Alligator mississippiensis: one gene and its partners. The protein of the gene in region 1 interacts with the protein of each later gene in a pairwise test. Links are inferred from orthologs where the notes say so. Each region holds a gene or a part of one and is shown in the gene's direction. Other genes may lie near its edges. The genes, in order: SAT1, KCNA4, translational activator of cytochrome c oxidase 1 and DMRT3.

The links.
Region 2: the proteins of SAT1 (region 1) and KCNA4 interact in binary tests that used the Homo sapiens proteins (3 or more experiments, as listed by UniProt). The link is inferred for Alligator mississippiensis from reciprocal best matches to the Homo sapiens genes SAT1 and KCNA4.
Region 3: the proteins of SAT1 (region 1) and translational activator of cytochrome c oxidase 1 interact in binary tests that used the Homo sapiens proteins (3 or more experiments, as listed by UniProt). The two-hybrid records come from large-scale screens. The link is inferred for Alligator mississippiensis from reciprocal best matches to the Homo sapiens genes SAT1 and TACO1.
Region 4: the proteins of SAT1 (region 1) and DMRT3 interact in binary tests that used the Homo sapiens proteins (3 or more experiments, as listed by UniProt). The two-hybrid records come from large-scale screens. The link is inferred for Alligator mississippiensis from reciprocal best matches to the Homo sapiens genes SAT1 and DMRT3.

The regions. Positions count from the first base shown.
Region 1 is NC_081824.1:316,091,411-316,098,336, reverse strand, and holds the start of SAT1 (diamine acetyltransferase 1), read left to right. Parts: upstream 1-3,924; 5' UTR 3,925-3,942; coding exon 3,943-4,008; intron 4,009-4,332; coding exon 4,333-4,384; intron 4,385-4,469; coding exon 4,470-4,553; intron 4,554-5,840; coding exon 5,841-5,942; intron 5,943-6,033; coding exon 6,034-6,074; intron 6,075-6,469; coding exon 6,470-6,640; 3' UTR 6,641-6,926. UniProt on the Homo sapiens protein: Enzyme which catalyzes the acetylation of polyamines. Substrate specificity: norspermidine = spermidine >> spermine > N(1)-acetylspermine. This highly regulated enzyme allows a fine attenuation of the intracellular concentration of polyamines.
Region 2 is NC_081825.1:207,409,413-207,416,801, forward strand, and holds the start of KCNA4 (potassium voltage-gated channel subfamily A member 4), read left to right. Parts: upstream 1-4,386; 5' UTR 4,387-5,108; intron 5,109-5,894; 5' UTR 5,895-6,723; coding exon 6,724-7,389. UniProt on the Homo sapiens protein: Voltage-gated potassium channel that mediates transmembrane potassium transport in excitable membranes. Forms tetrameric potassium-selective channels through which potassium ions pass in accordance with their electrochemical gradient.
Region 3 is NC_081828.1:74,614,150-74,622,137, reverse strand, and holds the start of translational activator of cytochrome c oxidase 1, read left to right. Parts: upstream 1-4,975; 5' UTR 4,976-5,082; intron 5,083-5,232; exon of another isoform or gene 5,233-5,256; intron 5,257-5,874; 5' UTR 5,875-5,918; coding exon 5,919-6,183; intron 6,184-6,531; coding exon 6,532-6,638; intron 6,639-7,988. UniProt on the Homo sapiens protein: Acts as a translational activator of mitochondrially-encoded cytochrome c oxidase 1.
Region 4 is NC_081826.1:192,449,662-192,456,573, reverse strand, and holds the start of DMRT3 (doublesex- and mab-3-related transcription factor 3), read left to right. Parts: upstream 1-3,894; 5' UTR 3,895-4,459; coding exon 4,460-4,865; intron 4,866-6,912. UniProt on the Homo sapiens protein: Probable transcription factor that plays a role in configuring the spinal circuits controlling stride in vertebrates.

The DNA.
Region 1 (6,926 bases):
ATTCCACATATCACTACAGCTCTGTTGGTATAACAACAGTCACTCTATACCTTCCTCATGAGCTGGTGGGAAGACTTTCATCCCTGCAAACTCTACATATCCCTAGCATAAATTCTGCTCATTCTGGTCTTGTCTTCAAACTTAGGGCTGGTGCTCAAATATACAAGCCCCACATAAACCACTGCAGGATGGACAAGGTGGTGATTCACAGGAGGAACTAGGAAGGAACAAAGTCAAGAGATCTCCGTTTAGTTAGGACAGTTAGTTAGATGGTTCAGACAGGGCCCTCAAAGACATAATGGCAGAAGTTAGTTACTGCGATATGCAGTAGCAATTTGAAGAAGTTAATCATTCAGCATAGGACCACTATGAAGAGTCAGTCCTGACCCTTCAAAATAGCTGCAACAGGAAGGAATGAACAAAAGTTTTAACATTTACAAACATAAATAGGATCCAGATTGAGACTTAGTGTATGCAAGTCGGTGAAGCTACATCTACTTGCAACACATCTGATTTTAACCCAGGAGATATCATTAATCTTTGCATTTACATCAGGCTCTTCACCACAGTATCCAAGCGCTTTTCGTTGGTAGAAACATTTTCTGCAATACGGGTGTACTTGGTAGCCGTGTTGGTCTGAGACAAAAAGACATACAAAAAACTAGAACTCTTGGTTCCAAAATGATACTCTCATAGTATGGTCTAATAAAAGGTATCTTTGTGAGCTATGTTGAGTAGCTCTTTGATGTGTTGATCAGGTAGAATTCCTTCCCTGGAGGGGCCTCCCTGTCTGCCATCTGACATAAAAAACTTCTTTGTTGTTCTGCAATGAAGTTTAAAATCCAAAATTGACTAAAATTCGGCATCTTCCGTGTTTCAGGGGTAGAATTCCTTCCCTGGAGGAGTACACCTGATCAACACATCAAAGAGCTACTCAACACAGTTCACAAAGACATGCACATGGACCCTGAGGGACAGACTCCCATCTTCAGCTCCCTCTGTGTAAAAATGAAGTTTATTTCCTACCTATGGGGACTTTTTACCATCTTGTACCATCTACACTTTTCCCCAAAGCCCGACAAAGGGACTTTGATCCCAAAAGCTTGCAGAAAAGGACACTTTTCTCGCCATTTTCCAGTTGGTCTAATAAAAGGTATCATTTTGGAACCAAGAGTTTTAGATTTTTGTATGTCTTTTCTGCAATATAAAATTTTCACTAGAAAAGTGCCTTGTTTTGGCAAAAAACAGATCTAAGTCCTGAACCAAAAAAAAAGATGCATTACATCTGAACCTTTTTATACTTCACTATGCACATGTAACACAACACCCCATATAAGCAGTAGTAACAGAGAGCTTGATCTTACAAGCGGCTGGGCATTATGTCCTTCATTTAGCAATTACTAAATCCTGTGGTTAACTTCAAGCAGGTGAATAGTGCTGTTGAAGCCTTAACCTTTATAACCCCTTGTCTTGGGAAACAAACAATTAAAATAAACACTGAGACTGCTGCTAATTCTTAAAACTATTTTGAGAGGTTAATTCAAATTATTCTGTGTTTAGAGCTGGCTGACTACCTACTCATCAATAAGATGAGTTCTGTGATTCAGAGGGAAGGTTAACTGGAGGTCAAGGGAAAATGCATGCCCTATTTGCCATTAGTTTCACTTCCAAGGTTTTTGCAATTCTGATGCTAAAAAGCTCTGTTCCTTTTGCTGGATGATAAAATGAATTCCATCAATTCCACAGATCTCACATTTTAAAAGATCAGTTGATAATGTGGGTAACATGCCTAACAATGAGGATTACACAAGAATCATTCAAGCAGCGTCTTTGTTGGATTTTTATATTAGTAAACTATCTACACCTTGACCATTCTCAATTTAATGCAGGCTTCTCACCACTAAGGCATGCTATCATCTCGACAACAAATAGCCAAAGCCTAGGCTCCTTCTGCCCAATTTATAGGGAAAAATGAGACGGTTTGAAACCTCTGCTGAACTCAGCAGTTATCAATTAACTGATTGCACTAGCAAGTCAATTAGCATCATAAAACATGAATTACTGTTATATGGAGGCTTTGAGGTGTGACTATTTGAGTTACCTGGGGAGAAAAAAAAAAAAAAAAAATCAAGAACTCTTGGTTCAGACATGATACCTTTTATTAGACCAACTAATAATTTATCTAGCAGAATCTTTCTTTTAGTTTTTCTCTCATCTGCATACCATATCCTGCAGTGGCCCACAGAATGCTTTCTGATTTTTCAATATTTTTTCCCTCCAGCATACATATGAAAACAAACCCAAATGAGCCATGTTTGCTGGGATAATGCAGAGTCACCACATTTTGGTGCAACTGGAGAAGTGGGTGCAAAGCTAAATTCTCTTAAAATGCTGAAGCTAGGGTGGGGGAGAAGTCTAATCAGATTTTAGTTTCTGAAGTCATGAGACTGAGAAAAAAGAAACTAAGTACTTCTCTACATTACTCAATTGCAGTTTCCTGACAGTGTGGTTTCCTGTATGACAAATGAAAAGAAGAAAAAAAAAAGCTGAGGACTTGTGAACACTGAAGTTGTTTTTGTATTGTGTTCCTCATGCACAGGATTTCTGGAACGTCATAAAGTTTTCATGAATACATTTCTTTAAACAACACCTCACAATCCCCCAGGTCTTATACCGACCTTACTAGAAATTCCTGTGGCACTTGATTAGAGAGTGCAACCGGCTGGGATCTTCCCACAGAACTTCTTCCCACCACCAGCACCAAAGCGTTTGCCTAGGCCCTGTGGCAGAAACAATGGGTACACAGGGCTTTTTAAGGGTTGTTGGTTGTAGCCAGGTTGGTCTAAAGACACAGGCAGGCAAGGTTCTTTGGGTAGAGGTGATACCTTTTATTAGACCAACTGAAAATTGGACAAATTGTTCTTTGCAAGCGGTCAGGCACAAACACCCTTCTTCAGCCATAGAGAGTCTGCTGGACTTTTCCTATGCCTGAAAACAACCAGCAGCTTCTCTTTATGCCTGAAGGGCATTTGTGCCCAAAAACTTACAAAGAACAAAGTTTTCCAATTATTTAGTTGATCTAAAAAAAATAGCACACATACCCAAAGAACCAGAGCACCAGTGGGAGAAGAGGCAGAGATTTTTCTTTTGCAAACCATCACAGGTACATCACTCCTGCGCTACCACCCCACATGAGGGACATGTTGTGCAACTGCAAGACAAGCACCGCTTTACGCCAGCCGCAGCAGCTCTGGCAGCGCTGAGGTCAGGCCCCTTCAGCCTGGCTGGAAAAACAGTACAAGGGCTTGTGCTTTAGGAGCCAGAGGAGCGCAGCCAAGCCAAGCAAGGACCAGAGAAGCGTGCTGGTGGCCTCGGATTAGTCAAGGTGGTGGAGCTGGTTTACTGTGGTGGAGGATGCCTGGCACGCAGAGGAGTACAACCCCTGCCCCCAGGAAGGGCACACAACCACAGAGTGCACACTCCCTGCTCTGGAGACAGTAGCAGACGGGCCACAAGGCTTCCCCCTTCATTAAGGGGGGCGGGGCGCTGCGTGGGAGCGAGGCGCCCGCACCCCACTAAGGGGCGCCCTTGCCCCTGTCTCCAACGGCGAGTCACGAGACGCCGGCTGTTACTAGCAGAGTGAGGTAATCCGGCGGCGGGCGCGCGGCGGTTGGCTGAGAACGCTGGTGCGGGCGCGCTCATTGGCTGGCGAGGCGGAGCCTGCTAAGCTATAAATAGGGGCCGGCGCGGCTCCTTCGGGCTAAACGCCGCTACGCTACCGTTCTAGTTGGGCGTTTTAGGACTTGCTGTACACCGCCGCATCGGGTCATGCTCGGAGCCTGACTAGGCGCCCGGGACACGAATGAAGAAGCAGCTGCTCCTCCTGTTCACTCACCGGGGACTTGTCAGCCGAGGGGGCCGCAGGGGAAAACGCCGCCGAAAATGGCCTCGTTCCATATCCGTGCCGCACGCCCGGAGGACTGTTCTGACCTGCTGCGCCTTATCAAGGTGCGGGCGGAGGGGTGGGGACTCGCGCGTGCGCAGTGTGAGCTGGGCATCTCCCCCTCCCCCCGCCCTTTTTGCCTAGAGAGGGAGTCCATTCGGAGGAGGAGGGAGGCTTGCGCATGCGCGAGTAAGGGGGGGGGTGGAACACTTCTGCGGCGTTCTTGCCTGGGAGTCGAACGCGCCTGCGCACTAGCGTGGGCAGAAGCCAACGATTACATAACAGGCAAGGGAATATTGGGGCCTCTGTCTGCACGTGTAAGGAAAGGGGTGGGGCTTGCGCATGCGCACATCCTTGCGAGTGTTGACAGCTTCTCTGGTCCCTTCTAGGAACTAGCCAAGTACGAGGACATGGAGGACCAAGTCATACTGACTGAGAAAGGTAAGGTGCTCATTGGCATGGTCAGCAGCTCCCCTCGGTTGCCATTCCTTGTTGGTGCCTGGCTCTAATGTCTGCCCTCTTTCAGATCTGCTGGAGGATGGCTTCGGGGAGCACCCGTTCTACCACTGCCTAGTGGCAGAAGTGCCCAAGGAAGCGTGGACACCAGAAGGTGAGACTTGCTGCTGCTGCTGGTCTTAACACGAGAAACCCACAGGCCGCACGCAGCCTGGGGTAATGCTGCTGATTGTACATAAGGCTTCCGCTGTTAAAACGCGGTAAGAGGAAAAGGTTTAAGTGTTGAGATGCAACTGTGCAGATTGCAGTAGCTTTCTAAGTAATCTGCCAGCCTGAAGAGCATGGGAGACCAGGTATAATAAATATAATGTGCTTTAATTCCATTTCATTAAATGGTTTTCTTGTTTGACCCTAATTTACCTCTTATGTAATCCTGTTGAATCACATTTTTTTTTTAATTTGTCCCCAATCTTCAGGTTACAGTCTCTAGCTTCGCCATGTACATGGCCCTTCCGTGTACATGGATGGGCGGGGAGGTAACTAAAAGATCCGTTACACAATAAAGTAGATGATCATGATATGAGGTAAGGTCTACAGGGACAAGTACTATTCCCAAACCTTTACCAAAAAAACACGGTAGATCAGAAATCCTGTATGCACTGTCTTCCTATGAGCATGTGCGAAGCACTATGGTAAAAATGTGATTTCAATTTTTCAAGTTTTAGGATTGAATGGAATGATGTGGGAAGAGTTGGCTCCTCTTCCAGGCTGAGCTATGGAATTGTTGTTGGTCAAAGTAGATAATAGCTTCCTGTTGCTGAGGGTAGAGAGAGACTAATGCTATCAGTGGGAGCACAGAGGAAGCAGTGTTGGAGATGCCATTACAGCAGCTAATGGCTGTGAGAGAGCACTCCTGGCTTCCCACAGAGCAATTTTTGAGTAATTGGAAGATGAAGTAGTGCTTTTTAGATTACATTCATTATTAGCTTTATGCTCAGATTCTAAGGAAGCAAAGTTGAGCTCACTGTCACCAGATTCTGAACTGCCGTGTCAAACTTAGTCTGATTTGTATTCCAAAGTGGACATACTGATAAATCATTAGGGTATGTATGTATCTGTACCAGAAAACCTTGGTTGTTTGGTGCTTATTCTTAACTGTAACACTGGCTTTGAAGATGCAGGGTATCAGAAGGATAAGTTCTCATTTTCTAAGACTGATTCAGGTTGCAGGAATTTGTCTTAACTGTAACTTACTGCGCTTATTGTAAACTTCTATTCCTAAACCCAGCCTATGATAGTTGCAAATTTAATAGTTGCATGTTACAGAAATGGCCTAGGCATTAAGACATGCATGTGAGACTAATTTCTTTTTTTTTTTTTTTTTTTTTGAAGGCAACAACATTTTAAGTTTTTACTAAAGTAATAAAACTTTTTGTTTCAGAACATTGTGTTGTGGGTTTTGCCATGTATTACTTCACTTATGACCCATGGATTGGAAAACTGCTGTATCTTGAAGACTTCTATGTGATGTCTGACTACAGAGGTATGTTCTAATCTATAGTAGTAGATTGGAAAATTTATATTTTTCTAAATGGTGTACTACTGGAATAGCTTGGGGTTTTTTTGCTTTTTAGGGCTTGGCATTGGTTCAGAAATTTTGAAGAAGCTGAGTCAGGTATGTTGTGGCTTTTTCATTCTTCCATTAGACTTTTTTTTAAGCACCAAACAAGTAATATGTAATCAATGCTGTTTATTGGTTGTACAAACTACTGCCTTCAAACACTACTTGGAAATAAGGGATTTAGTGGCATTAGTGAAAGAAAAATACATCCTATAAACTGTTTCTACTAATCCTAATTCTGACAAGCACAACAGAAAGTGGACAAATCCCAGAGGATAGGGTAAAGGAAACCAGCCACACTTAACACTGCAACCACTGTTTAGTGGCATCCATTTCAGCTCTGATTCAAGCTGCAATTTATTAGCCTATTAGTGGAAGGATAGCCAAGTTCATGTATACAGCAAATGAGATTGCTCTGTCTTTTAGTCTACTCTGTAATATTTCCATAGGTTGCTGTTAAAAGTCGCTGCAGCAGTATGCACTTCCTGGTGGCAGAATGGAATGAACCTTCCATTAGGTTCTATAAGAGAAGGGGTGCCTTGGATCTGTCGACTGAGGAAGGGTGGAGACTCTTCAGAATTGACAAAGAATACTTATTGAAAATGGCAACTGAAGAGTGAAATTGTTCCAGCACATGACAAATCCTATCCGCGAATTATACTTTGAATAAATTCTTGCCTTATTCTTGCTTTGTGTACAGTCTGTAGTGAAATAAATAGCACAGATGTTCAAGAGCTTTACCAGTGCTGAGAGTAGTACTATAGCTACTGTACCCCAGAGTTGACAGCTGTGAAGTCCAGTTTTTTTGCTTGTATACATCTTTCACTAGTGTGGGCTTGTGATCTTTAAATATATATTGAATAAAACTTCATTCTTGTAAGTGTAATGCAAATGTGTACAATGTAC
Region 2 (7,389 bases), on another chromosome or scaffold:
CACATTGTCTGTATGTCAGGATGAACTATTGGCCCTTTTCCCCCTTGCAACCACTACTTTTTCATATTGGACCTGTAGTTAAGCCTGTAACCTGGTGACAGTCTGCCAGCAGTGATGGTGAGTGGGAAGCTGCTCTCTTTCACCCTTGGTTCCTGCATCAAAGTCCCAAGGACAGCTGTACAGGTCCAGTAAAGACTGATGTAGGCAGAGATTGACTTTTCTATTTCTTCTTCTGCCATCCTTTTAAATATTAGTGCTCTCAGTCACATGGGTTGGATCAATATGGCTCCTCACTAGTTTCTGTGAGTTGGCCTGCCTGAGGGGAGGGAATTTGTCAGAACAAGTCCTTCGTATGAGTATAGTAAAGCAACTTTTATTGAGAAAACACAATATGACAGTGTGTTGGTCAGTATCATAGATTAGCATACTGTCAGGATCCACAGAGGCATTCAGCCTACTGGTTAGAGTTGGGGGGGTATTACCAACATCTAGTCAGGGGACAAGCCAAAGTCAAACCAGCAAGTGGGGTTACAAGAAGCGGATGTCAGGAAGCAAGCCAAAGTTAAACTGGGGTTCCGAAGTTCAAAGATGGTACATGGAAAGGAACGTGGGAACCAGCACCAGGGAAGTCACACGGATGAGAACTACACACTGACTGAGGGCAGGGTGTTGTGCAGTAGGGGTAGGTGCTGTAAGAGCTCCTTAAGCCCTGGAACCAATCAGCAAGCTCAGGCTCAACTAGCCCTGCTTAGGGGGTTGAGTGTTGCTGACCCAGTTGCCCATCTGCACTGCAGAAGCCTTACACATATGGCAACTTTGGCAAGAACCTTACCAACTGCTGGGTGGGCTATTGGGGATGTACCAGTCAAGTCTACACTGTTCAGACACTGTAGACATGTCAGCTTCATTTTGGCACTGGCCATGTGACACAACTAACTTTGGTCCTGTTATATTAACCATTCATGCATGTGCACATCTTCTGCCCTGATCATTATGGTGTTCTGTCTAGCAATATTAAGCTTAGTAACATTTTAAGAATATAGCACAACTTACTAAATATAGAAGGTTCCTGCTCTATCCATTACTGGCATACACCATCATCAGACTACCTGATCATTATGGTATTCTGTCTAGCAATATTAAGTTTAGTAACATTTTAAGACTATAGCACAACTACTTACAACTAGCGTAAGCAGAACTCAACGTGCCTTCTCAATGTGTACCTTTCCAGTGGTGCCTCACCCTGGTGCTAGCTGTGACAACAGAAATGTCCAGCTGATATCAGTAGGGAGATGTGAACCTGCCCTAATTTTGTCTGTAATGCACTCACATTCAAAATAGATATGGATCTTTTCTAACAGATTACAGCTGGGGAAGGCTGTAAAATAGTTTTTAAATTATATTTTCTCAACGTTGTTGGAAAATAAATGGCTAAAAGCATTTATTTTGAATGAACAAGGATATCTTTTTTGAGCTGTAAGAATGAAAAAAATAATCCTATTGGATGCGTGTGAAGCTGTATTTTAAAAATGAAATAAAAAAAAAAACCATGTTATTTATAGGTTAAATCTTACTTTTGACCACAGAAATTTTTTGCTGATTTTATATATCATTTTTTCACTGTAATCTGTACTGTGCTGTGTATATAAATAAAAGCATGGTGTAATAAGCAGATCTTTGGCCAAGATGTTAGTAACTCCTAGATTCTAATCCTGGCTACAATCTCTCTCCCTCTTTTGCCTTGAATTATTCATCTAGTTGACCTGCCATAATTTTCCTTTCTTTAAAATAAGGAAAATAATGTGACTTAGCTCAAAGACCTTGTAATATTTATAATATTTATAAATTGCTTTTGAGACTGAAAGCACTGTACAGTCAAGATCCATGTAGATCTCTACTGTAAATTTTGTGTTAATCATTCAGAAGGTCCTTTGATTTCTTTTCAGATTGCACAGGTAATAAACCATCATAACAGAATTCTTCTACATATTAGGGCCAGATTCGCTGATGGTATACTGTGAAGTAATAATGCATAGTTAAATTGGTGAGGTATCAATTTATAACAACAAAGAATTTAACTTTTTTGGAGTTCATTCTCCACAGGCAAGATGATGCAGAAAGAATTCTGCATTCCTTTGGTACAATACAGATAAACGGTGCTAATGTACAGTATACAACTCCATTCGACTACCAGAGAGCAGAGCAGATCTCTATAGTGAGGTCCTTTTATTACAACGTACTAAATGCAGTTCTACCCCTGGAGATATTGGCCCACTACACGTTCTGTCTCTTTGTTCTACTAATATTTTCCCTTGGAAAGACGAAGGAGGGGAGAGCAGGTAAAGGGATTTTAATAAGAATGAATGTCTGAACGAAAATATGATTAATCTACAAAAATATGATGAATAAAATAAGAGTTGCAGTATTTTTTGTAGCAATCTCAGTCATCTATAAATAATCAAGGATTGCTTTTTTGCTTTAGAAAGTGTCTGGGAAAAGGTGGATCAGCTAAGACTTTGGGGTTTAATTGGATCACATTTACTTGCCTTGTCTCAATTGTATTAGAAAAGACTTAAAAAGAGGGCCTACATACAGAGAAAGCTTTACAATATAGAAGGTACCTGCTCTATCCGTTACTGGCATACACCATCATCTGACAGAGTGCCCTTTTCTTTGCTTAGGACTGTACTTTTGTTGGTAGAAAAATAGAAAGGAATAACAATTGAAGAGGTGCACAATAATTGGATCCATTTCTGCTGCTGTCCTTCACACGGTCTTTTACTGTAACAGCAGTAAGAGGCATGGACAAGAAAGCAGATCTGAAGCTCTGAAAAAAATATGATAGCTAACAGAGCCTAGCATTTTTCTTGTTTTCAACTTCCACCCCCTACCTCTGCTGCCCAAATATACCACCTAAATAGAAAACAAGTCTGAAGAGCTCCTACTAAAACAAAAAATCTCCAAACTGCCATGTATCCTGCATGCTGCCAAATCCTAGGCCTGGAACATGACTTCTACAAATTTTTGAACTAAGCATTCAAAGTTTAATGCCTAAATGGAAAGTAACACTATCCACTCCCAGTACACTAACATTACTAGATCTTGCTGCATCTCTTCTACTTTGTTACATAATCTGAGTGCTTGGTCCTATGAGATTCAGGTGCTGAATATATGTCTTTGCAGTAGATACCACTGGTGCAATGGTACTTGATACTTTGCAATTTAAATGAAGTAGCTGGTAGTAATAAACAAAGCAATCTGACTAGAACCAGTAAGATCCAGTTTTCTCCAGTGCCAGTTTCAAATATGACCTGGATATTTTGGGGGGTGCATTAGGAACAGTTATATTTTCCCACTATTTTTTAAAAGGCAATTTGGGAGATTCTGGTTAAAAATTGGTTGGATTCATATGTATTTCCTAGTTTGATGGATAAAGATACAATGTGATCTAGTTGTTTTTTTGGTTTTTTTAGCTATGTAGGAATAACTACCCTTGATTTCTATTAAACTGATAGAATTTGAGGTCTGTGGCCAAATCTGTTCAAGACTCAGCCAGGTGCTGGATACGCATTTTCGTGATGCCCACTAATGTGCGGGGAGAATCTATCTAGGTTGTGAATATCGTGGTGCTGAAGCAGCACTACACTGGTTCTTTGTTCCTCTTAAGGAAAACGAGGGATGAAGAGCAAGTTTGGATGAATCTGGCCAGACAGAGATGCAGCAGTACTCATACACAAAGCTATGACAGGGTCATTTGGTAAATAGAAGAAGACTGACATAGAAGAATAGAAAATACCATAGAAAGAGAAAAATAAGATTTTATATTTAAGAAGCAGAATTTGGGGTAAGATATTGACCGGATCCAGTTGCACGATCCAGGTTTGTTTCAGCGTTGGTGCTCCGAGCTACCTTGTGGCTTGGATGTGGTGCGGCACGGGCGGTTCAAAGGGTTGATGGTCCAATTTGGGTGAGTGGAGAGCAAAATATCAGCTGAATCCAGGTAGATGTGGGTCTTCCTGTTTTAATTTAAACTTTGGTGCTCTGCTTCATTTTGAAATTCCCAAATTCCCTCCAGTGTCTCTGCAGCATATTTTTCTTTCTTAGGGGGGGAGGAAAAAAAAAAGACAGAGCCTTTAGCATTGACTTAATCACTACATTTTATTAGCCAGCTTATGTATTATTCAGCGTTGGAATATTTCTTTCAATAATTAATACATTAATACAAAAAGGGAGCACGCCTGGGGGAAGGAGGGGGAGCGTTTGCAAACAATGAGGGTGCAAGGGGAGCTGTGGCCGCTAGGGGCTGGTAGAGAGGTGGAAAACCTCGGGAATAAATCAGACCTAGCCCCGGCGTTTGTCCTTCAGTGGCACGTAAACACGGCTGAGAAGCGGGCAGGAGAGAGCAACAGGACTTGCTCGAGTTACAACCCTGAACTCATTGATCACAGCGCCCGCTTGATGGCTGCGCAGTTTTGAAATCAGGGAATAAATGCACCGCTAGTGCTTTTTTTGTTTAATCTTTTCCTTTTTATTCATTCTTCCCTCTCCCTCCCCGCCGCCAGCCCAATCCTTCAGACACAACAGCCACAACAAGTGGATGCTGCGAGAGCGCCCGAACTGCGCGGCGATCAGCTGCAGTTCAAACGTGCGTGCGAGGGAAATTGCAACAAGCAAGACATCCTCTTGCCAGTAGCAAGAGGCGGGTTGGGCACACGGATTGCTTGCTTGCTTTTTGACAAATCTACGGCAAAAGCCGGGCTTGGAAAAGGCCACATCCATTCATTCCCTCTCTCCCCCCCCACACACAAGCCCTCTATTGTCCCCTCCCCCGGCACAGGAAATCTTGCTCGTTTATTATTTTGCAAAGGTAAGGAGTGATCGCCGCTGCCCAGCATCCCCCCAACTCAGGCTGGCTGCCTCTCTCTCCAGGAGGTCTTGTTGCACGCAAAGAGAAGCCAGAAAAAATAACTCATCAACCTGTAGGGCTGCCTGACCCTGCACCTGCAAACAGAGATTGTTCAACACAATCCTCTCTTCAAGATCTCTCTCTCTCTCTCCAGATCCTCAGGCTAGCGAGAACAGCGTTGCTCTTTCTCTGCCTAGGAACAGTAAGTATAATAGCTTTTTGGTTTGGGGGTTTTTTTTTTTTGCCTGGCACACACATCTGGCATTTTTGTCATTTAACAATTAATATCCATCTCCTTGTGCTGTATGAATGTAAAAGGTCGCTGGACATGAGGATGCTGGTTCTGTGTGTTTGTGTGCGTGCGTGTTTAGCTTTTGCTTCATTGCCTCTCCAGTTTGCATTTTCTTGACACACACCATGAATATGCTTCACTTGACATGCCAGTGGATGTGCCTGTTTCTACATGAAATGCAGTAAAATGTTCACTGGGACTGAAACACAGTTTAGACATAGCACATACTGTACCATTGCTGTATCTAATTAAGTTCTAAAAATAAACCAAAGCTATAGCCTATACATTTTTTTTTTCTTGAACTAACTGATCATGCCAAATGTGAACGCACTCTGTGTGTGTATGTTTTGGCTTGTGCATTAGTATTTATAGATTGATTGCTTTCTTTCTATCGGAGCATGCATGTGTTTGCGTATGGATGTGAGCATGTACATGGGTGTACATTTTCTATAGATATAAAATACATACCCACCCACAACCATACCCACACAGACGTGTGAAATCTCTCTCTGTGAGATATGGGTGTGTATGTACAGTATAGATTTGAATAGTGGGGGTGGTGGAAGACTGAACACCTTAATAATAAATGACACTATATTCATTTGTTCAGCACTGTGGCCTCTTAGGAAAATGATCCAACCTCTTCCCTTTTTGTTTGTTTGTTGTTTTTTGTATGTGTATATGCATGTGCCTCAGGTTAAGTGCTCCTTCAGCATGAGAATAACCAAAGGGTGATCCACTCCCTTGTCTCCTATGGGGATTGCAGAGCCAGTTTTGCAGCCTTCATCATCTCCTCCTCCTCATCTTCCTACTGCTGCCGCCATCCTGGGTGCAGCTCCCAGGTTTGAAACACTGTTGACAGGCTGAAAAAAGAGGGCATGGATAGACCTCCTCACTGTGTAAACAATATGAGAGCTGGAAGTTGCTTCAACTCCCTAAATAACAATATCAATCAGTTATCAGACTACTAGGCCAAAGCACTGCTTGGAGGAAAGTATGAGAAAACAGGCTATTTTTATTTGGTGACACTGGTGAACTAAAGACCTGAAACTTTTTTGGTGGCAAAAAACTAATAGAAGAGTTGCCCTTTCTATTTGCATAAACATTTGCTCCTTGCTGGATGTAATCTTGGGAGCCTGCAAGAATATCATGAAATTGTTCAGATCTGTTGATCCTGCATACACCACCAGAGAATACTAAAACCAAAGGGGCTTGGTGGATGAAAGGACAAGGCCTAGGCTCTTTCCTGATCAAATTTGAGAACTTCATCTTTTGATTAATTTCCATTCTTAGCAAAAGACATAACTTTTGTGATACAGCCTGGATGATAAAGAGATGCAGATCTGTGGTTGCTACAGTTTTACAAAACACAGACTCAACGCAACTGGTATCCTGATGGGTTGAGCTTCCAAGAGACCAGCCTCCAAATGCAAACACCTTTGAACTTCCCACAGTAAAACAACAAGCTTTGACAGCAGATACACCGAACATTTTTGCATTAAACAAATAAACAAACAGTTGCAAAATGGAGGTTGCAATGGTGAGTGCAGATAGCTCTGGATGCAATAGCCACTTGCCGTATGGATATGCGGCCCAGGCCCGGGCCCGGGAGAGGGAACGACTGGCACACTCAAGGGCGGCAGCGGCTGCAGCAGTGGCAGCGGCAACAGCGGCAGTGGAAGGTGGAGCCACTGGTGGAGAGGGGCCCTATCACCATTACCACCAGGAACAAGGGCGTGGTGGGAATGCATCCCGCAGCAGCCAGCCCCAGCGTCAGAACAGCAAGAGGAAGAAGCGAGGCAAAAAGAGAAGCCACCATCTGGGAAGCAGGGAATGTGGGGCCTCTTTCCCCTGCTCTGAGTTGTTGCCTCTCAGTGGCTCAGAAGAGAGAATACTTAAGGATTTGAGTGATGATGAGGAAGAAGAGGAGGAAGATGAGGATGAAGAGGATGAGGAGGAAGGAAAGTTCTACTATAGCGATGAAGATGGGGTGGATGATTTTTCATACTCAGACCAGCCACCTGATGATGGTGGCGGTGGCGGTGGCCCTGGGAGCTACAGTTCAGTTCGCTACAATGAGTATGAGTGCTGTGAGAGGGTGGTAATCAATGTGTCAGGACTGCGGTTTGAGACTCAACTGAAGACCCTGGCTCAGTTCCCTGAGACACTGCTGGGTGATCCAGCAAAGCGG
Region 3 (7,988 bases), on another chromosome or scaffold:
CCTCACAGTGGGCCCCTGGCCCTTTTGACCCTTCCAGTCTTGGCCTCAGCATCGTCCAGCTGAGGATGCTTTGAGTCAGGCCTCTGAGCCTCTATCTCACTCCCTACTCTGGGTCCACCTTCTTGGCCTTACTATGGTGTAACCCATCTGGCTGTGGGAGCTGGGGTTATTAAGGCACCCCAACCCACCTTTCACCAGGGTGGTAACTGGCCTGGCATCTTCTGGGGGTTCCCACACCACTGGGAGCACCACCAGACCACTCACTCCTGGCAGGGTACAGTTTTAGATCAGGACCAGGAGCCTCCAAACCATCCCCTTTTGCTCCTGCCCTTATCTTGAGGATGGTGCATACAGCCTTGCAGCCAGGCAATGTTTCTGCCTGCCCCACCAGCAGCCAACTGCTCCATTTATACAGGCAGTCAGAGATCTAAAATGGCTGCCACAATCAAGCACCTGCTGGCTGCTTAGCTCAGCCCTTAAAGTGGCAGGCACACTTCAAGAAGGATGTGAACAGCTTGGGAAAAATCCAGCAGAAAGCAACAAAAAAGATTAGAGGCCTGAAAAGCATGATTTATGAGGAAAGGCTGTGAGAGCTAGGGTTTTTTAGTTTGGAGAAGAGTAAATTGGTGGGTGGGGGGGGACTAACAGTCTTCAAATGCCTGAAGGTTGATTATAGAGAGGATGGATACTGCCACAGAAAAAAATTAAGTTGAAAATTAAGAAGAACTTTTTGGCTATGAGGGTAGTCAAGCATTGGAACAGGCTACCTAGAGAAGTTGTAGAATCTCCATCCCTGGAAATTTTTAATAACAGGTTGGACAGACACTTGGCTAGGATGGCCTAGTCAGGGATGAGCCTGCCTTGAGCTGTGGGCTGGACTAGATGACCTGGTCAGGTCCTTTGCAGCCCTACTCTCCTATAATCTTGTATACTCAGCTTGTCTAGATAGTTCCAGCATTCTCAGGAGGCAGATGGTTCTTCTCCCTGGCATGTGGCCATCTTGACAGAATTATGAAGTTGAGCACTTAAAAGTTTTTGTTTTGTAAAGTTTGTTCTGAGACTCTTTCTGGTTCCTACCTTTCAAGCTGGTACTGGCTTCATTCATGTTTTCTGCATCTTTCTGTGTTTCTGCATTTCTTACAGGTTGAGCATCTCACATCACCATATTCCCATGAAAATGACCCTGTACAGTGGTCACTTTTTTATAGTTTATGTCTGAAATGTAGCGTTTTAGTTTTAGTAGCAAGCACTGAAGTCATCTTGGGGCTTAGTCGTTTCTGATCTGTTTCTTTTCAAATGGTTTCCTGTCCTTGAATATGCAAGTTTCACTTTACCCGTGTGAACATTATTTTAATGCATTCTTTTTCAATTTGATCATCCTTAAGTTCCCTTAGCAATAACAACCTTGATGTGAGAGCTACTGGCTGCTTCTTCTGGAGAGAAGGATGCCTCAGGCTCATCTCAGAGATATCACACTGTATAGCTGTCTCTTCCTCCACATTACAGCATTTCAAAATGAGGCTTTTGAGTACCAGCTCCTCAATACATGCAATGGCTGCAACCTCTTTTGGTAATCATGTTCATTCTGTGTTTTCAGGAACTTGCATCCCTTGAGAGACCTACAACAAACTTTGTCAGATCCTTTACAAGACACAGCAATTTCCAAACTGATTAAATATCTTTATGAATGGATACCTGCCATTTTGCCTTTCCCATTTCAGGGTTAGACCACAGCCTCCAGGAAGTCATCGGTACTCTGTCTGGCTTTGCTGTCAATCACACTTTCATCTTATTTTTATTTCTTTATCCTTTTCCCTGCCCTTTGCAGCAGACAATCACAATTGTAGCCATGATCTCCAATAGCTTCCACCAGGTTGTCTCTCCATCTGTATGTCAGAATGTCACCAGCTGTGACACTGATCCCCACCAGGCCTGGTAGCATGTCTTGTTGGTGGGGTTGATAGTCTACCAGACATTTATGCCAGTAGCATTCTGTCATCTGTGTTTACCCACTGGTGCCCAAAGTTGGAGAGTCATCTTCCTTCCTTATCATGGTTTACATGGACCAGTTTCAGTTGTTGTCACTCACTGGTGCAGAGAATGTGGCTGGGAGATATGAACAACCAGTTGTGAACTGGACCTGTGCACAATTGCATGCACATACACACTGTAGGTACCAATACACAGGAGTCATCTGCCACTTTCCATTATGTGTGTGACATAGAGTAATCCTGCTGGGAATGTAAGGTGTTCAGGAGTGTGGCAGCCCAAGAGCCAGCCTCAGTGGGCAAGCAGGAACTTCCTGGCATGACAGAACACCATCAAGGCTAAATTCCAGACCCACGCAAATATGGTAGCAAGAGTGTTACTTCCTTAATGTAAGAAGTTCTTTATATAAGTTCCTGAACATAATAAAGAGTTGTTTTCACACCACAAGCCTCATATAGACCAGTGATTCTCAACAAGGGTGATACAGTACCCTGGGCTGCCTTGAGATTCTTTCAGGGGTGTTGTGGGGTGCTATGCAAAGTTAGCACCGTTAGGTGTGTAAACATGATTCGCCATGTAAATCCCAAGATTTTAAATAAGAATCCATAATGTTAAAAGCATGCTGACCTGCTGCGGTCTTTAAGTGCCTTGCCACAGAAATATTGCTCTATTATTTTCCAATTGGCAAGAAACAAATGAAAATGATGAGCTGGCATTTTCCAAGTGGCGCTTTGAGTCTAAGGAGGTTGAGCACCACTGATCTAGGTACTACAGTGTCCAGTAGAGGGCAGCAGTAGATTAAAACATTATGTATAAATACAATGATTCTCTACCAGGGCCAGGAGGATTAGGGCCAGAGAGCTCCTGTCAGTATATCTGCCTTGTCTCTTGTATAAGGACACGAGGGCCGGGGGCAGGGGCATGCCAGACATCCTCCTGTTCCCGTGGGCCAAGTATACAAGTCTGATCTGCAAGCTGGTGACAGATGCAGAATCCAAAACCGCTTGCCTCGTGAAATATTTTGCAGGGCACATCCTGAGACACTGGGGGGTATTCACTCTGACCAACCATAGACTGTGAATCACGGGCTCACCGTGTTTCTACGATACCCTGAACAAGTGCTGCAGTTTGTATGGCCTGCAAAGTGCAGGCCCAGCAACCATTAGAAACCACAAGAAGATCCAGGAGATGTTGAGGGTGCGGAACACCATGTCACCCATGGACCTGCTTCCGGGCGATGTGTGCCAGGCTGTGCGGGAGGACATCGACTACAAGGATCTGCGCAAAGATCATAAGGACCTGAACTGGCTCATGGCCCACCAAGTTCTACCAGTGAGGGCCCGGAGACACAGAGGGGTAGCTGGGGAGACCCAGCTGCCCATGGCCCAACTGGCATGGAGCCACTGAGACGATCGACCACCTCCTTTGGCTCTGCACCTGCACCAAAGAGGTATGGAAAAGGGTGAAGCAGCTCTGCGAAGTGGTGACTGGCGTCAGCTGGTTAATCAGAGAAGCGGTGCTGTACGGGGACCTCGACAAACTCCAGAGAAACCTGTTGCCCCATTTCAATCAGTTTGCGTCCTGCATCAGGAGTGCCCTGTGGAAAGCCAGGAACCTCCTGTTGTACAGGCAAATGGACGCAGAGGTAGTAGGCTGTGTGAAAATGGCACTGAGCGAACTCTGGACCTACTACCAGAAATCGGTAGTGGAGGATGGAGAGGATGCGGACAAAGCCACCTGGCACAGAGACATGTGGCACAGGATCATCCAACTCCCTCTGAGTGGAAAAGGGGGCGGTGACAGAGAGGAACAGGAAGGGACAAGTGGAACTGAGGATAGCAGCAGTGAGTCCTCCAGCGGGAGCTGGAGCGACAGCGACATAGAGGACAGATGAACTGAGAATGTGACCCTGCAAGCGGGGTGGGGATGGAAGGGAAGTATTGCCTGGTCTAAGGGACCAGGATTTGCTTGTATGTGTGTTGCTGCGGCTATTGTAACAGGTTCAGTTATATGTATATATATGGTGCTTACCCAAGCTACTTTTTCACACCATCAGGCCCCTGAAAGTGCTCTACAGCTGTGACGTAACACACGTGGCACAGCTGCAGAGTGCTTATAAAATGGCTGATTGTTTGAAAAATTAACCCTGGTTAAATCAAGTATTAGATGAAGGTGCATGAGGCTGCCCCAAAAAACAGGTCTAGGAAAAAAAAAAGAGTTGTTTTGGTGTAAATGTTTTAAAAATGTTTTTTGCACTTTTCCTCCCTTTAGGAGCTGGGAGGCTCCTGTGGCTCTGGGAGCAGGAACTTTTGGGAAAGCCCCAAAACATTTAGTATGACTCCACCTGCCAGTATCCCACAGACTCAGTGCCTGCCACAGCTCGGCAGGTGTGGGGAGAGGACCCAGCCAGGCTCAGCTGGCACCTTGCCCGTGTTTTATGGGAACCTCTTGGGCAGGGGGGAGGTTGCCTTTCTCCCACAGTCCTGGAGATCCAGGGTGTCCAGCTCCGTCCCTTGCTCCAGTTGGGTTTGGGAATGGCGAGTCCTGCCTGTGGGACAGCAAGCGGGAAGGGGTCGTGCCACGTGAACAAGCACAGTGCAAGCACAAGCATAGTCGTGGCTACTGCCGGGACTCCGAGGTTGTCTGTCTGGGGCAAGGCTCGCTCTGAGGTCTCCGGGTGTTGCGGGGCGCTTGCAATCACCGTCCTCTGGAGGAAAGTGGGAAGAGGAGGTGGCCCCTCACAGAGACCATGGTGCCCAGGCTGCCTTGGACGACACAGCAGAGCAGTGCCACGGCCGAGACAGGCAGCAGTGCGGGCCCACAGGGCAAGGTACAGAGGGGCGAGGCCCCCAGTGTGGCCAGGCAAGGCCCAGCCCCACACAGCCGGACGCAGCTTGGGGGGAGGGGGCCTAGCAGGACCCGGGGGCACGAAGGTGGCTCCCCACCCCCACCCCGTGAGCGCCCGCCGGCAGTGACGGGGTTAAAATCACCCAGCTGCCCCCGCGCGCGGAGGAAAGGGACGTACGGCGCGGGCCCTTCCTGCCCGGCCCGCGGCTGCTGGGGCTCGCGGGGGTGGCGGCGTCTCCCCTGCAGGTGCGACCCCCGGGCCGGGAGCGGGGGCGGGGAGCTCGGCGGCCTGGGATCCGCCCCAGCCCGGGGGCAGCCGAGCCAGCGCGTGTGCCCGGGCGCCAGGTGCCCCCTGCCTAGGCGGGGGTGGGGAGTGGACATTGTGCCCCAGCCGTGTGACACCTGTGTGCGCGCATGCGGGTGGGTTGCGTGACGTGTGCTGCATGTGCGTGTAGAGGAGGCACAGGCGCTCACATTCCATGTGAGAGTGTCATGTGTCATGCTGGGTACTGTGATGTCTAAAGCACTTGTATGTTGGAAGTTGGGCTGCATTGTGTGTGTGTTGGTGATGAGGTCATGCCCTGGGTCGCATTGTATATGCGTGTCAGACAATTACACAATATTTTATGCCGTGATAGGAAGAGATGCACTCCAAGCTGTGCAATGGGCACATGTCCATTTGCTTGTTGCAGGTCAAGGTTGTGTGAGAGTATGTGTCCATTTGCTCATTGCAGGCCAAGGGTGTGAGTGTGTGTGTGTGTGTGAGTATGCATGCGCTTTAGGCCAGACATGTCTAAGTAGCAAGCTGGGGTAGATGATGTACCTGTTCCAAATCATATCCCAAGTGTGTAATGTGGGTACACAATGCACATGCAGATGTTCATTTGTGCATCATGGACCAGGCTGTATAATATCCATGTGTCTGTGTTTGTATGTATGTATGCATGCCAGCGCATTAAGGCCAGAGAGTGTGACACCTGCATGTGTCTGTTGCAAGCCAAGGTGTGTAACCCGTCTGTATGCCCATGTTACTGACAGGCTCTGAGACCGGTGCCTTTCCAGCTTCTGCCTGATAGCTGCTCATGGCTACATCCGCCACCCTGCAAAGAGCAACTGTGCGATACCAGCGACTTCTGCTGGCCTCAGCGCTGGCATCGAAGGGGTCAGCACCATGTCTGTCTGCCCTGGGCCCTCCCTACCTGTTGGGCAGGGCACTACGTATCACAGGTGCCATCCCTGCTGGCCACAACAAGTGGTCCAAGGTGAAGAACATCAAGGGTCCACGGGATGCTAAGCGCAGCCAGATCTTCCAAAAGCTGTCCATGATGCTGCGGTTTGCTGTGCGAGGTATGGGGGGAGGGGGTCCCAGGGGCTCTGCTCTGCGATGTATGAGTCTAGGGGAGTCTCTTAGGCTTTTCTGTATGAGGTATGGGCCGAGTGTGCAGCCGCTTGAGCCCATCCCCTACAAAATCCCTGTCCTGCCTGGACTGCTGCAGGGTAGTATTTGGGTCTGTGTGGGGTGTACTTCTGTTCCCATTCCTTCCCCTACCAGCTCCCCAGCTATGGGAACTTCTCCCCATGAGAGGGGATAATGTCTGGAATCCTTGGGGTCAGAGTGGTGCAGACATGTCCCCGTTGAGACTCTGGCCACATCTTCCCTTCTTGTGACTTGTCCCTTTCCTGTCCCCTTTGCAGAGGGGGGACCTGATCCCGAGTTGAACAGCAACCTGGCCAACATCATCGAGCAATGCCGCAACAACAACATGCCCAAAGCCTCAATTGAGATGGCCATCAAGGGAGTGGTGTGTATACGGTGCTGCTAGCTCAGCTCTGCACAAGGGTGGTTTGTGTGAGTCTGTGTGCGTGTGTATGTGCATACATCTGCACTCATGCTTGGGCTGTGGTTGCTCTGAGTTCTGCAGTGAGGGTCATGATGGGGTTGGGAGTGGGTGAGAAGTTCAGCAGAACAGAATGACAATGTTATGCTCCTTGTAGAGCCACCAGGTAGTGTTTGACTTGTTTGGGCCACGCAGCAGTGTTATAAACATAGTGTTTGGTTGTTTTTCTCCCCCCCCACCCCCAGTTGTTTTTTTTTTGAATGTACATTTATAAAAAACTTGGCAGAAGACATTTGACTTTTTTAATATACAGTTTTGAGGAAAAAAACTCAGCAAAAATGTGTAGCAATTTTTTTTTAGTTTTAGTGACAACTTAAATGGCAACACATGGGAATATCCTGTTAGTTTGGGATACTGATATCCTCCAGCCAAGGTATAATTTATCTTTTCAAGAAGCAATGTCTTGTTCTGTTCCCAGGTGCTGCTGTGATGATAATGATAGAAAACAGTATTCTGGAGAAGAAAAGTGAATTAATTGCCATCCATTCCCTTATCAACTGTGAGCTCTGGCATCAGTCTTTTTCCATAGCCTTCTATGGAAGGCTAATCCAGAGGTGGAGGCCCATCATAGGGAACCATAAGAAAGACTAGAGCACCTAAGAAAAGTCTACTGTAAAGAGAGACTGAAAATGGGAGCGTTGTTCATCATATGGTGGACACACACCCTGGTTATTATAGCCAGTTTTATTCTGATTTGTACTCCAGAGTAAAGACTGGACACAACCAACTCTCACAAGGGATCTGCAGTAGGTGCTATTGCATTGTGTGGCCACTAGGTGGCAAGGGAGCCAATTTGTATCAAGTGAAGGGCTACCCTGGATGAAGTTGTGGACACCCTGCACTTACTCTGTAGTAAATTAGCCGTGGAGTAATGTTATTGCAGTTATTTTGTCAGGGAAACTTTATCCCAGAAAAGAAAGACTTACTCTGTGGTAAGGTGATGTCATGCGTCTACTTCACTCCCAGAGTAAAACCAAATTTCCTTTTTTGCAAACTTGCCCTGTGGACGAATTGGAGGAGGCAGATTGGGATGCGGGGGGAGGGGAAGGTATCTCTTTTCTTTGTCCTGTAACATGGGAGCAAGGGGGCAGGAAATGAGCTAGGTCAGGGTGCTCAGAACCCATTCAAGCAAATATTAATTGTCAGCTTGCTGCAGGCAGGGTGGCATCAAAGCTGAGAAATTAGGAGTTATGAGATATTTCTGTGGCTCATGGGAGCACCTTGAGTTACCACAGGTCACTTGTGCTTGTGAGA
Region 4 (6,912 bases), on another chromosome or scaffold:
TTTTATTTTATTTTATTTCCCTCCCCCTGGAAAATCCTGATCGTTTTCTTGGATGCCAGCAAGTAGCAGGCCTTTGCCTCATGCTCTCAAATTAGCTCTTTTTCCAAGACGGGATTGATTTCAGATGGGGTGGGTGATGGGTACGGAGGAGTTGATATTTTATTTGGACGAGGGGAATGGTGGAAACACCTGCACAATGGGATTTGGGGAAACTGCAACTTTTTCCCAGAGTCTAGAGTTGCAGGACCTGCCCCCGGGCAACTGCTGGGAGAAGCCGGGCGTGGGGCACGTAAACATGGGGCGCAGCCTGCTACACTGCATTTTCGGAGCCCCTCAGCATTTGCCACTGATCGCCTTTCACTGGCCGGGGCTGGGTTTTCCTCCCCCTGCCTGTGGACCCCTGGGTAGAGGCCCCCGCAAAATATTGTCCCGGTTGATCAACCGAGCCCCGCATTTGTCACGCAGCCTGTTTTAAGTTCTCTGCCTCGTCAGTCATTATCCGCGCGCCTCTTTAGCGAAGGGGAAGGGGTGAAGGCAGGCTGCCCGGTGGCTACAGCTGCGTTATGGTCGCCTCAGGAGAGGAGGAAAGAAACCCCCAGAAGCGCCAGGCTGGGTCCTTTCTGGGTCAGCCTCTCAGTACAACGGGGGCTGGACGCTGGGATCCAGGGACAGAAGGGTCCTAGGAAGGATCCAGGGGCATAAGGGTCGTAGGAGGGAGCCAGGGACACAAGGGATCTAGGAAGGATGCAGGGACACAAAAGTCTCAGCTTGGCCGCTACGAGCCCTTCAGGCTCTCAAGGGATGATGCTGCCGAAGCGGGGGGCAGCAGTGAAGTCCTGCCTTCCCCAGCCTTTCCCAAATTTGCCCCCGTGGCCGGGAAGCAGTGACATCCTACAGCTGTCCGGGCGGCGGGGGCTCCCCTAGCTGCTTGTTCTAGTCGCCCTAGTTTATTAGTGTGATCCTGGACCCGGATAAGCAATTGTTTAAAATTGTTTTTCATGGGATCTGCGGTGTATTTCATGCCACTGTTTCCTCGCATGGAGGAGCTCATTGCAGCTGTCGGGCGTTTCTGTCTCGCAGTCATGATGGGAAAACAAGCACCAGCTTGCAGTCACTGACTGGCTGGTCAGTCCCAGGCTCGGGCATCTTCTGTGCACCGGAGGCGGCTTGGTAGAGAGGCCATGGCACATCTCTATCCCCCTCTGCCCCCCTCTGCCAGGCGGCAGCGACCGCTTGCCAAGTTGCCCAAATTCACCAGCAGCGATTGCAAGCGACGGGAAGATCCCGTTGCTGAAGCCGGGGGGCGACAGGAGAGAGGTGCCCCCCGCACCCCTAGTGTCATCAGGGCTCGAGGATGTCAGCACAGCCCGCAACCCCCCCGCGGTGCCAATGCCCGCGCAATGGCGAAGGGATGGTCAGCTGGCTGCTTGTGCCCGGGCTCTCCAGAGCTCGCCCAGGTTTGCTTTTTCAAAGCATTCCCAGGCGGCCCCTGGAGATTGCATTTCCCAGACGGTCTGAGCCTGATCTGTGGATTATCCCAAGAAAAATCAACATCGAAGAGCAACCGATTGTCAGCGGGTTCACTCAAATGAAGTTACATTTGGGTTTTGCCCTCCCCCTCCCCTGAGCTCCCGCAGGATTTTTCCCATAAACGTCTAAAGCTGCTGGATTTAGGAGAACCGGGCACTCTCCCCCTAAATGTTATTTGGACCATATGCTTTGCACATTCATTCCCTTTCACTCTATTCTTCTCGGCGCTAACTGCTAACACGTTATAGTCACCTTGAAATTTCCTCTGCTATTTTCCAATTAAAAGCTTAATAGCCCTGGAAACGGAGTTCATGTGGTGAAGTTTACCATAGCCCCTGCTTCTGAAAGGCTTTCTGCTGGGATCCCATTATGTGCTTGAATAAACCTTTTCTGCAAACAGAAATGGGACTCGGGGTTGTCAGGTGTTGGGTTACAATAGACTTTCAGGCAGGGGACATTTTGCTAACATAAATACAAACCTGTCCCTATAGGGAGATGTTGTCAAATACTAGGATATGGAAAACATTCCCATCAAATATGAAAAAAGGATTACTGCCCTATATCAAACGAGCGGTTCAGCCTAAACTCCCGATGTGCACTCAAGTGAAACAGGGGCCCCACGACCTAATAATGGCAGCGGTGGATAGAGAGATGCGTGGCCAGATAGGTGACAGAGTCAGTGAGACTCCCTGCTCTGCTCTGGGAAATCCAGAGCCGCGGAATACAGTCCAAAACATCTTCGGAGAAAGATTTGTCTTGGGGGTCTCGACATAAGATCCGGGAGACAAAAGTTCTTTCCCCCCAAAATTAAATAAAGCCAGTAGAGCCATAGCAGAGCGATAGCATTTATTACAGTAGGGATCATCAAGAATCCAGCGCCTCATTCAGTTAACCACATGTCCTAGGTTCATCAGTTTTTCCAGGTGGATTCTGTAGACGATTTTGCCTTATATTTTAATTTGTTTTTTAAACGTAAACGCGCTTCCTCATATTTTAAGTTTTTTAATGTAAATTCGTAAGCGTGCATTTGATCTATGGGATTAGTTGTCCCGACTTGCTGTATTCAAAACCCGTAAGTGATATATTTATACACATACATAATATATACATACATACAGTTTTGAATACAGGAAATTATGTACATATATGTATCTATCTTTTAGATATATATCTCACACCCTACGGCTAAATATTCAAAAACTAAGTGTGAGATACATAGATATATATCTATATACATCTCACACATCTATCAAACTTACCGTTTGTTAATATGCATGTGTGTATATCTATAGCTATAGTTTATCTATATACATGCATGTATTATCTATAGATAGATAAATATAAATATATATATATATATATATATATATATATATAGCTCTCCATATATAGATATCTAGATATATAGCTATATGTAGGTATAGATATATAGAAAAAAATCTCTAGATACAGATTGATACATATAGATATATATATATAGAGAGAGAGAGAGAGAGATTTTTGCAAGGGCTTAAAATTGCCTGTAGGAAACGTGGTCTATGTCTGTGTAATATTCTCGGGGTGAGACTAGCATCAACCAACGTTAGAGACACAAACAATACGGGGGAAACATTGTGTTGCGATTTGGGCATTCTGCAGAAAATAAATGGACTGCGTGCCCTATTCCCGATCTGTTTCAGTTTCCTCGTCATGTAAAAAGCAACAGATGAGTTAGACAAGAAGCCCCTCTCCTTTGATAGCGGCAAGATTTGTGTGTAAAATACGAATCGACCAGCTGGGAAAGCGAAGGAGGGCTTTGAAAAGGAACACGGGACCGAGTGAAATCTCAGGTCGCGTGTATCCGTCTCGCACTTTTACTCCTTCTGGGCAAAAAGACTTTTCGAAGTGAATGAGCGATCTCTACGTTTGAAAGTTGCTAAATATGTCACCGCTGCCATCAAACAGCCGCGGCATAAAACTAACTTCTTTTTAACAAAATGTTGGTTGAGGAACAACAAAGGCAAACTTTCAAACGCGGCCACCAGCCCGCGGCCCCTGGCACGGAGTGAATGTGGGAGCAGAAGGGCGATCGCCACGCTCCGAAAGTCAGCTCGGGGGGTTGTCCGGGTTTAACAACCGCCTGAGATGAATTTGCTTCATCCCAAGCTGCATTCACGGCGGGGTTTGGGGGGTTATTTTTTCTTCGGGGAAGGTTGCTGGGAAGCGCCTTTGGTTGCCTGCCCGGGAGCTGAGCCGCGCGGGCTGGGGGAGCTGGAAAGCAGAGTTACGGACTGCGGCTCGGGGTGGGCCGCCGGGGAGGGGGCTGCCCGGGGGGGCATGGCAGGAGCCATCTTGGCGAGAAACAGCCGGGCGGGGAGGCAAGACCTCGGGCCCGCCGGCTCCGGCCATTTGTTTCCGCCAGGAAATGCGATCGCGGCCGGTTGGGAGCCGGTTTGCGGCGGGCGCAGGGGATGGGACCGGCGCCTCTCGCCCGGCTCCTTCTCCCCTGGTACCCGTCCTGTGAAACTTAGCGCGGCGGGTCCCACTGGTGCAGAGCAGCCGGGGCCCGTGCAGCCCGCTCAGGCACCTCATTGCTGCAGGGGGGGGGGGGACACCTCCCCGCCCTCCTTGCAAGCGAGGGGTGCTGGGGAACCCCCCCGAGAAGCCGCAAGCGAGGGGTCGGCTGCCCCCAGCCCGGCCCAGCCCTGGAGGCAGCAGCAGCAAGCCCCAAGTGGGGGAGCCCCCCCTCCCCAGCGCGCACACACTCCTCCCGCCCGCTTCCCAGTGGCTGCAGCGGCTGCCCAGGAGCCGGCGCGCCTCCCCCCGCTCCCTCCCGCGGCCCGCCCCCAGGCCGGGCGCAGGTGGGAGGCAGGTGCGGGGCTGGGGCTCGGGCCGGCGAGCGGCCGCACGGAGGCAGAGGCTGCGGCCGCAGCAGCGCGCGGCTCGGGGCATGAACGGCTACGGCTCGCCCTACCTGTACATGGGCGGCCCCGTGTCGCAGCCGCCGCGGGCGCCCCTGCAGCGCACGCCCAAGTGCGCGCGGTGCCGCAACCACGGCGTGCTCAGCTGGCTCAAGGGCCACAAGCGCTACTGCCGCTTCAAGGACTGCACCTGCGAGAAGTGCATCCTCATCATCGAGCGGCAGCGGGTCATGGCGGCGCAGGTGGCGCTGCGGCGGCAGCAGGCCAACGAGAGCCTCGAGAGCCTCATCCCCGACTCCCTGCGAGCCCTGCCCGGCGCCCCGCCGCCGCCGCCGCCCGCCAGCCCGCAGCGCCCCCCGGCCGAGCTGGCCGCCGCCGCCGCCCTGCGCTGGGCGCCCGACCCGCCCGCCGGCCTTCAGCCGCCGCCCAAAGCAGGTGAGGCTCCCGCGGCCGGGCGGGGTTGGGTTGGAGAGACCGGGCAAACTTTCTCAGCGCAGGGAGCCTCCTCCCGCCTTGGAGGGCTGGGAGCGCCGGCGAGACAAAGCCTTTGGTCCGGATGCGGTGGGTCCTGCTCGGAGCAGGGTGTCGGGCTGGATGCCCTCCCTTCCAGCCCTCATTGGCCCTCATTCCCGAGGCATGGGGGGCTCAGGCTGAGTGGGATCCCTCCCTCCCCCCAAAAAGGGAAAGGACTCTCCTTCCCTGGAGATGAGCTGCCTAGGGGACGCTGGCCTGACCCAGAGCAGGGCTGCCAGGCTGATCAGCTGGATGGAGGGGCTTCCCTGTGAGGAGCCCAGGCCTGGGTGGTTGAGAAAAGAGAGGCTGGAGAGGAGATTTACCTACTTGTACAGGGAGGGTTTGGAGAGGGATGATCCTGCCTTGCATGAGGTGACCTCCCAGCCCTGCAAAGTCCACGGGCAGGAGAAAGCTGGTGGGGATTGATCACTGCCTCTCTCAGCGGGCAAGAACCAGGGGCAGAAGATGAAAGGAGAAGGTAGGAAGTTGAGAAGAAACAAAAGGAAGCTCCTCTTCATGCAGTGCCTCAAAGCCTGCGGGACTCCTTGCCCCCAGATGCGGGGGAAGCTGATGGTTTAGGCAGATTCAGAAAGGGACTGGACACCTTCTTGGAGGAAAGGGGCAGCAGGGGAGTGAGGGGCACAGCCTCTGGATCAGCCCCCCACGCTGGGGGCTGCAAGCGAGAGAGGAGTGGGGAAGACCCTCCTCAGACCCACTCCTCACTTGTTTTCAGCTCCACTCTCTGCCCCTGCAAGGCACTGGGCAAGAGGGACCCATGGGCTGTCCCAGGAGATGGCAGCTTGTATGGCAAGGCGAGGGCAAAGCCCTTATGCCCAGCCCGATTGAATTTGTTCCAGGCCAGATCCGTGGCTTGCTCCCTCCTCACTCGCCCCAGTGGGGACTGGCAGCGGAGATGAGTGGGAAGGGGCAGCTCCCAGCCAGCAGGCACTGTGCGGCCCCCGGTGGGACACAATCAGATCCCCCTTGGAGCCTGCTTTTCCTGCCCGGCTCCCCCACCCCCGCAGACCCTGCCCTGTTTGTGCGCTCTCCTGGGGCAATGTGAGAGTGGGGCAGCAGCTCCTGCCATTTGTTTACTTCATTCTTCAGCCCCTCTTCCCTCCCCTCTGAATAACTTTACAGCTAACACTTTTTTTAGAGATTTATTTTTGTTTTGGCTCAGCAAAATCATTCTGGAAATCCTCCTCCCTGAGGGACAGAAGCTCCCTGCACGCAGAGGGGCTGCCAGGCTGCTCCTCATGGCCCCAGCGAAAGCCTGAGGCAGAGAAAGTGTGCAGAGAGCAGGGACATGGCCCCTGAGCCAGAGGAAGGCGCAGGGGGGTTTCCAGCCCTCTTCATCCCCACACATGGCAGCTGTGGGGGCAGCGCTGTGCATCCCAGCGGCCCTCATAGTCTTGGGGGGGGCTGCTGCCCGTGGGGAGGAAACCCCCGATGGACAAGCTGAGGCTTTCTCAGGCTCAGCCCCGCGCCATCCCGGCCCGTGGGAGTGAAGCAGGGGGCTTGGCTGGAGCCTGGGGCTGGTGCATTGGGCTCTGCACCAAACTCCGAGGGCTCCCGCCCGCCTTGGAGCCATGTGCACTGGTCCCTGGGGGCAGCCCGCTTGTCCCTGATAGTCAGGAGTTACACTTTGACTCTTGGGGGTGGGTCTTGGAGGGGTTTAACACTAAGTTAAACTGGTTCATTGGTTAACAAGTCTACTCCGAGACCTCCTCTCCAGATTATGATTTTCAAATCTTACAGGAGGGTTTTCATCTCTTATGGGGGTGGGGGCTCAGCTGCCCCAAGCTCCCCCATAATTTGGACTCTGGTCTGGGGGAAGGTAGGAGCTCTCTCATGCAAGGGTGTGGGGTGAGTTGCCCTGGGCCCCAGGCTCCATTTTCTCTGCCCTTCTTGGTCGCTGGCAGGGCGGGCAGGCTGGAGTGGAGGCTCCGTCGTCACCCCAGCCACCTAG